2 linked regions of the Oryctolagus cuniculus genome follow. Each later gene encodes a partner of the first gene's protein in a complex. Links are inferred from orthologs where the notes say so. Each region holds a gene or a part of one and is shown on either strand. Other genes may lie near its edges.

Region 1 (4,432 bases):
GCAGCATTAAGCCATCTTGTTAGTAGTTAGTAATATCCCTGAACTCATCAGTTGATAGTTAAAACTTTGGAGTGGAGGCAGTCAGTTAAATAATATCAGATAAACTGACACAGTTTCTTCCATCCTTAGATGCTCTTCCCATCACATCATTTGTCATTGAACTGCCTAGTTTTCTGTTTCACAGTCAAATCCTCAGAGGGTTATCTGACCTTGGAATTAAACACTCAACCTACCACAGGTGGATGTTTGGGGTGACATTTAAAAGAGTACTGCATTTTTTTCAGAACTTTCAGTACAGAGAAGAAAGCATAATATCACGTTCTCAGTAAGATGCAATGTCACCATGTTTCTCCAAGTCAACAAGGAGCCAGAAGTAATGCCTTTAAAACAAACTCACCCAAGTAACAACCTCTTAAACACTGGAATAAAGCCAATCTGTTTATTTCACAGCCTATTTCTGTGCTATTGGATGTCTCCTTATAGCAGAGAATAAACTAGAGGGTGGGGGGAGGGAGTAAAATGCTAAGGAGAAGCAATGAAAGGGGATAAAAGATCATGATTCAGATGGTGGAGTTTATAGATGTCTCAGTAATTTATATCGTGTTTTTTGCTCCAGGATTCCATAGATATACATTTTTGATAATTTATTGTTCTATCATTATTACTGCTGACTAAATCTACTCTGTCAATCTAGTAGTTGGCTAATTTAAATCATGGTTTGTCATCTTAACAAACAGAAAATTATGCTAGCTAAGATTGGTTCAGTGGTATCTTTTTTCAACTTTTTTATTTATATAAAGTGAACAAATTTCATGTATACACATTTATGAGCATAGTGATATCTAAGAGGAATCATTTATATTTTCTTTACCTTTTATTCACAGAGCAAAGATAATCTGTAGTCATTCTAGTTTTATCAGTCTATGTGATTTTTAAAGGGATAAATGAGAAACATTTTCTTTTTTAAGAGTAGACCTTCAATTATACTTTTTATTGTCGTAATTGCAGAATAAGACTAGTTTTTTCTCTGATATGAATTTTTTATTGAATTACAGAAAGCAGTTTTTTTTAAAATAAATTCTTTCATTGATTCTTTTCCTGAAATTTTCCTTCTGTTGTTAGCTGTCCACTCAATAGATGGTGCTCTTTTCTCAGAGACACTTTCTTATTTTATTGCTTATCAAAGTATCAGGGAAATTAGCTTTACTTTTTAACAAACATTAATTAAAGAAATCAGGCATATAAATAGGACAAGTCAATTACAAGCAATTTGCAGCACTTTGCTAAGGAAAGCATAATGGGAACAGTGATTATTTGTTAAAGGATTCAAGTACTCCACTGAAACCTGCGAAATACTTGCTGAATAGGTGAAGCAAACACTGTAACTAAATATGAAAATGACACATTGGCTGCATACCTACAACCCCCAATGGGAAGAAACAAGCCTTACTAAGGAACTATGTTAAACAGCTAAAAATATTTGTTTACTTCTTAAAAAGTGAATATTTAGTATTCCACATTCACATGATGTGTTTGGTATACATATCAAGACCAACACAAACAACATCAATCTCATTCAATATTGAAAATTTGCTCACCCCTTGTCTAATGAAGCTGGAACATCTGGGAAACAGACAGTAAACCATAAATTCTTTCGAAATAATTTTACTAAAGACACATTTTCTTTTTCCCAGAGTGCCTATGACAACTTCCTATGTAACAGTTTCTAATGGAGAATTATGATGGGTCACTCTTCATCTGTTCCAATGTGTGGAGACACTGAAAAACAATTCTGTTCTCCTGAACCACCCTACCCACTCAAGATGCAGCTTGCAATTGCTGTAGCAGAACCACAGCTGTCAACTGCAAAGGGTGGAGGTAACAAAGTGACATTACCAGGGAGAGATACCAGGAAAACTTCCTCTGCCTCATGTGGCCTTAGGGTGGAAGCAGGAATAGGTACACGTGAAGATCAGGGGTGGGGCTGTCTACAGAGAAGTCCTCCTGTACCAGCAAAAGTAGGAAAGTTGCCACCTGAGTGGACTCAGCCTCCCAATTCGGAAAAAAACACACCTAAACGTCCTCCCCCATTCTTCACAACTTATGATGCCATAGCTCTTGCAAAGGGAGCCACCGTAGGACTCTGTGCCAAGAGTTTTCTTGTCTCTGTACAAGGGAGAGCTTCAACATGAAGCATTTTCCCCCAACTCTCACCCCCAGAGCTTTATGCCTTTTATCAAAACAGCTTCTCTGTTCCTGAATTTTTGGATTTTTTCTTTACCAGTGGAAGAAAAAAAATAGAAAAGTAGCTCCCCATCCACAAACACACACAGCAACCGCTCCATCTGGGGTCGCCCCCAACCACACGCTTAGTCTTGGGATGCAAGGGCCTTTTGGGAGCCCTTTTAGCCGCTGAACTCCCCGTTCACAGCCCTGGCGCCCTCCTTACCTGATGATCACGTACATGACCAGGAAGTTTCCGAAGAGACCCACCACGCACACGATGGAGTAGATGGCCATGATAGTGACGGCTGTGACCATGGAGGGACTGCCGGTCGGGGGGCACAGGCCGTCGCGTCCGCCCAGTTCGGTGCGGTTCGGTCCACACGGGTCGGACAGGTTGCTATCGAAGTGGGACAAATTGACCCAGGACCCGGGGCTGGGTGCTGGGGAGCAACTGGAGGAGTGCGCAAAGGGATCAGTGCAATTGCTTGCGCTCGCTGGGACGGCGCTGCTGTCCATGGTGCTGACGGCGCTGGGGAGCGGGAGGCCAGCTAGTCGGGAGCCTTGGGACTCGGACTCTGGGCGCTTCAGCCACTGGCTCTGGCCACGGCGGCCGCAGCTCTTTGCGGTTTCTTACCGGGACCAGCCTCGCGGAGCCAAAAGCAGCGTCAGGCAAAAGGCGACAGCGGAGCGTCTGACATTATCCTCTGCTGGTGGCCCCTCCCACCTTCGTAGTACACAGAGGCTCATCCCAACCCGGCACCACAGGGCTGAGGAGGGCAAGGCAGGCGGTGCGGGCTCCGCAGGCTGGAGGGGAGGAGGAGGGGGGAGGTGGATTTTGCGCAAAGCAATCGGAGGAGTTGGTCCTCACCCTTCGCGCTCTTGAGAGCAAACACCTCGAGGGCGGGCGGAGCTGGAAGGGAGCTGGAGGGGAGGGGTGGCCAGAGAGGAACAGAGCTACTTTTGATAGCAGGGAAGCATAAACGAGGGGGCTGATAGATCTCCATTTTTCCAGCGCCGGTTTCTCTTTTTAATCTACGAGGAAAGACACTGGCACGCTATAACTCTAACAGCCCTTGAGCCCCAATGCCCTTCCATCTCTATGGCCCACCACAATTATTGGAGGTAGGGGGCACAAGATCCTCTTTCCTCTACATCGCCTCATCTGACAGAAGACAATCATGTCTTTGAAATTTCCAACTCTACAAACCTGTCTGTACCCAGAGAGATCCTTTATTTATTTATTTATTTATTTATTTTCATAGAAAGGATCTCTATGAAAATAAATAAATAAATAAATAAACTTTGTGGAAGAAACCTGCTCCCTTTATTTTTCATTGTTTCAGTTTCTCTAAGAATAGATGTTCCATTTGCATCCTTCCATAGAATTAGGTAGATTGTGACATGCAAAAAAGTCAACTGAAGATATTACTGATCCACATCTGAGGTCTCCAAGACCCTTTCAGAATGATTATACATTCCATCTGCGAACATACCAGATAGGCGTATACTTTTCAGAAGAAGGCTGTTAAACCCAACAAATTTTGTTTTATTTCATTCCGTTTTCTAGTGTAGACATTCCAGGAGGAAGTACATAAACTTCTGCGCTTGGAGTAGCCCACAAAATGTTCTCGAGGAACAATGATACATTAAAAAAATTTGTATTCACTTTTAAGTCCGTGAGCTCTTCCAATTAAAAAAAATGTAAATACAGTAAGAATATTATTTGTAAAAAACCAACACTAATTCTGCAGTAATTCTCATTTCTGTGCATGAAAATATCTTTTAGCCATAAACACTGGAAATAAATATTCCCAATTGCTGATGGAATAACTGCAGTGTTTTGTGAGCAGGGAAGAGGGAAACCTGAAATCAGCTTTTAATTCCAATATTACTTTTAGGCCATCTGTCTTGAAAACAGATAACTCAAAGGTAAGCTGTATTAATCATAGGAGATATTGCCAATGTTCAGTGTTATTTTTATACTTTATTATTAAAGGGTGTAATTTCAGCAATAAGTTCTTTTATGAAGACTAGTAAAAATGCCTAAAAACATTATAGACTTTGATTTAATGTGTCATCTCATTTGCGCTGAGCTCTGCTATTCATTCTGTCCTTTGAGGATCCATAAAACCAACACATATAAACTTCAAATGGAGGACAAGTAGGCATGTGGAACTGAAATCCTGATATGGGAGGCAAATCATGT
Region 2 (3,133 bases), on another chromosome or scaffold:
TTGGTAATGAGCGCGAGCAGAGTGACTGGCACCCTGGGTGCCATGCCCAGGGGTGGGGATGGATGGGAAATTGGGAAGTGGGGGTGCTCTTTGGTTCTTGAGCCAGCGGATGTGGAGAAAACCAGATTTTTGCGCACATCGCTCTGAGGAATCTGTGTAGCACGGGTGTGGCAGGAGAGCCACTAGAGGCGGGTGGGGAGTGAGGATGAGGGCTGCAGCCAGGCCCGGGGAGGGAGGGAGGGGCCCAGTCCAGCCGGGGGCGAGAGTCGGAGGGCCTGCAACAGGTGTGTGTGTGTATGTGTGTGTGTGTGTGTGTGTGTGTGTAGGGGAGACGTGAGGCCACACCCACACTCAGCTCCCCAGTGATGAAAACGGAGGCCTCAGACCCAGGGGGCGTCCACAGCTTGCGCGAACCCGGCAAGGGGGGTGGGGTGGACACGGAGCGGCTCCGGGGCCACCAGCCAGGCTCCCCGGGCGCGCTGGGCTCGGCGCCGCGGCTCGCGGTCTACACTCAGAGCCGGAGGCGGTGTGAAATGGGAAAACGGGTTTATTTCCTAAGGACAGGCGGCGCGGGGAGGCGGCGCTCACGGGCCCTTCTTGTGCGCGTTCTTGACGATGGCGTTGCGGAACAGCGTCACCAGCGGCGTCTGGCCCTTCTCCGACGACATGAAGCCGCCGTAGCGCTTGTCCTTGGGCCGGCTGCCCCAGCGGAAGTGCTCCATCCTGTAGGGGCCCTCATCCTTCTTCTCGGCCGCCGCCACCAGGCCGTACTCCGGGTCCGCGTCCTCGGCCGGGCCGTCGGCCAGCTCGCGCTTGACCTCGACGGGGAAGGCCTCGGCCGACTCGTTCTCGGCGCCGTTGGGGTACACCTTCACCGGGCGCCGCTTCTTGCCCACCGGCTTGCCCCAGCGGAAGTGCTCCATGGAGTAGGAGCGCTTGCCCTCGCGCGGGCCGGGCTCGGCGCCATCGCCGCGGTCCCCGGCCGCCGCGACCTGCTCCTGCTCGCGCTTCTGCCCCGCGCCGCCGCCGCTGCTGCCGTTCCGGCGGCCGAAGCGGTCCCAGCGGAAGTGGCCCATGACGTACCTCCGGGGGCTCTCGGTGAGCGGCTGCGCGTCGCCGTTGCCGGGGAACACGGGCGTCTCGGCCGAGCGGTCGAGCTGGCAAGCGCGGAGGCACTGCTGCGGGGAGGGCGAGGCCGTGAGCCCGGGCGCGGCGACAGCGACGCGACCAGCGCGTGGCTCGCAGGCACACACCCCTGCGACCACTGGCGGGGCTGGTCTGTGCCCCCGGGGCGCGTGGCCGCGGTGTCGCTAGCAGGCACGCACCCCGACGACCACCGGCGACGCCCAGCGCGCTCTCGGTGGGTGGCCTGTGCCCGTGGCTCTTGTGGGCAAGGCCAACGCTTTGCCTGAAAGGAACTGCCCAGAAGGGCAGGTGGAGGGTGCTGGGGGGTGGCACTTACTGCTGAACCAATGACTACGTAAATACCGGGCAATGGAGGACTGGGAGCATTGCGGGTCTGGCGGGGGAGGGTCCTGCGTGCTCAGTACCCCCCAGCCCTATCCCTGCTCCAGGCCCTTCCCCTGGCTTTCAGGGAGCTGATGGCCCCATCCCCTTGCCGACACAGAGCGGCTCACTTCCCTGTCGCCTCTCTCTGGCCCGAGGGAGAGCCGCGTGGAGCCCGGGCCTCTGCTCCCTGTCCACAGAGGGCTCGACTGTGGTCCGTTTTGCTTAGCAAGGTGACCGCATGGCTGCAGCCTGGAGATTTCTGTCACTTGAAAGCTTACAGAGGAGAAAACAAAACGTCTGGGTTCAGCGGACTTTCCCACCCCAGGGATTTACCATTCGGGATGCACAGACGGGAGCAGTAGCAAATAAAAACTGAGGCAAACGCCCTCCCTGGACCGGGCATGAAGCGGGAGGCGCAGGCCCGAGCCCCCCAGCGTGAGGCAGCACAGGTGGCCCTGAGTGCGTCCGGGGCACCTTCCCCGGGTGAGCTCTCCCGGGGCTGTCTCCTGGTCTCTCGGGACTGGAACTCACGGACCCCCGGGCGTCCTGCCCTGCTTTATGTCACACGTGCAGCCTGCCCTAACTCCACCTTCACTCGGCTTCTCCACAGACGAAACACAATGCAGCAGTGTGCATTGCACCCCCGACTGGCAGGTGCCAGCGTGTGCACGCACGCGCACACACACACACCCACACACACACACCCCTGCCAGCACATGTAACTACTGGAAAGATCAAAGAGGCGCTTAGCAGAAGGCCAGCCTTCCAGAAGCAGCGTGAGACACCGGGTACCAGTTACCCCAAAAAAAGGGTACCTTGGTTTTTCCTTCTCCCTCTAAAGACCCTTCGTAGAGCTACCGCTCTAGCTTTGTAAATGGTAGTAGATAAAAGGAGAAGAAATACAAAGGGGAAATGGCAAGGAACATGCGGTTCTTGGAGACAGAATAATGCAGAGACTGTGAGGTTAAAATACAGGACTGAGGGAGCCGCTAACATTACTAGGACACTGTCTCTAAATGAACAATCAATCAATCAATAGTGTCCAAAGAAGACAGGGCAGAGGGGAAGGATGACCAAGCAGGACCTGCGGGGCAGACCCATCTCCCTGGAGCTGCTTCCACCACGCCTCCCGCCCCCGCCCCCGCCCCAGCACAGCCCGAAGCTCGTTCTGCTCCTGCCGGGTTGGGTCAGCCCTGTCACTGGGAAGGAACTTCCCTTCCCCACGCTGCTGCTTCTGAGCTGTCGCGGCTCCAGTCCCATCTGATGCCCAAGTCAAGATGGCAGTGACGGCCCACGTACCAGCAGGTGGCTTTCCGTGGTGAGCTCCTGACACTGGCTGCTCTCCAGGCACCAGCCACGCACTTCCATGGAGGCCTGAAGCAACACGGCCAGCAGCAGAGCCCCCGACCTCAGCATCTTCCAGGCAGGCTGCGGCTCTGCAGAGGCAAACAAGATAGGCGGGACCCCTGCGAGGAGCAGAACAATGTTGGCCACTCACCAGGAAGGACCAGGAGCCAACAGCAACAACGCACTCGCTTGTGGAGTTCAAGGCTGTTTGAGGACAGGAGCAGAACTGAGGACAGGGGGAGACGGGCAGCACTAATTCCAGCACTCCAGGTCCAAG

Evidence for each region.
Region 2: the proteins of OPRM1 (region 1) and POMC are in contact, whole or in part, in a cryo-EM structure (PDB 8F7Q), measured with the Homo sapiens proteins. The link is inferred for Oryctolagus cuniculus from reciprocal best matches to the Homo sapiens genes OPRM1 and POMC. Residues at the interface, in NP_000905.3 of Homo sapiens: Ser66, Met67, Ala70, Ile71, Met74, Gln126, Asn129, Tyr130, Leu131, Met132, Gly133, Trp135, Val145, Ile146, Asp149, Tyr150, Met153, Arg213, Ile217, Asp218, Cys219, Thr220, Glu231, Lys235, Val238, Ile298, Val302, Lys305, Trp320, Ile324; in NP_000930.1 of Homo sapiens: Tyr237, Gly238, Gly239, Phe240, Met241, Thr242, Ser243, Glu244, Lys245, Thr248, Pro249, Leu250, Val251, Leu253.

Annotation. Positions count from the first base shown.
Region 1 is NC_091436.1:13,655,993-13,660,424, forward strand, and holds the start of OPRM1 (mu-type opioid receptor), read right to left. Parts: upstream 2,876-4,432; 5' UTR 2,743-2,875; coding exon 2,450-2,742; intron 1-2,449. UniProt on the Homo sapiens protein: Receptor for endogenous opioids such as beta-endorphin and endomorphin. Receptor for natural and synthetic opioids including morphine, heroin, DAMGO, fentanyl, etorphine, buprenorphin and methadone.
Region 2 is NC_091433.1:177,511,274-177,514,406, reverse strand, and holds the end of POMC (pro-opiomelanocortin), read right to left. Parts: intron 2,976-3,133; 5' UTR 2,926-2,975; coding exon 2,809-2,925; intron 1,179-2,808; coding exon 585-1,178; 3' UTR 530-584; downstream 1-529.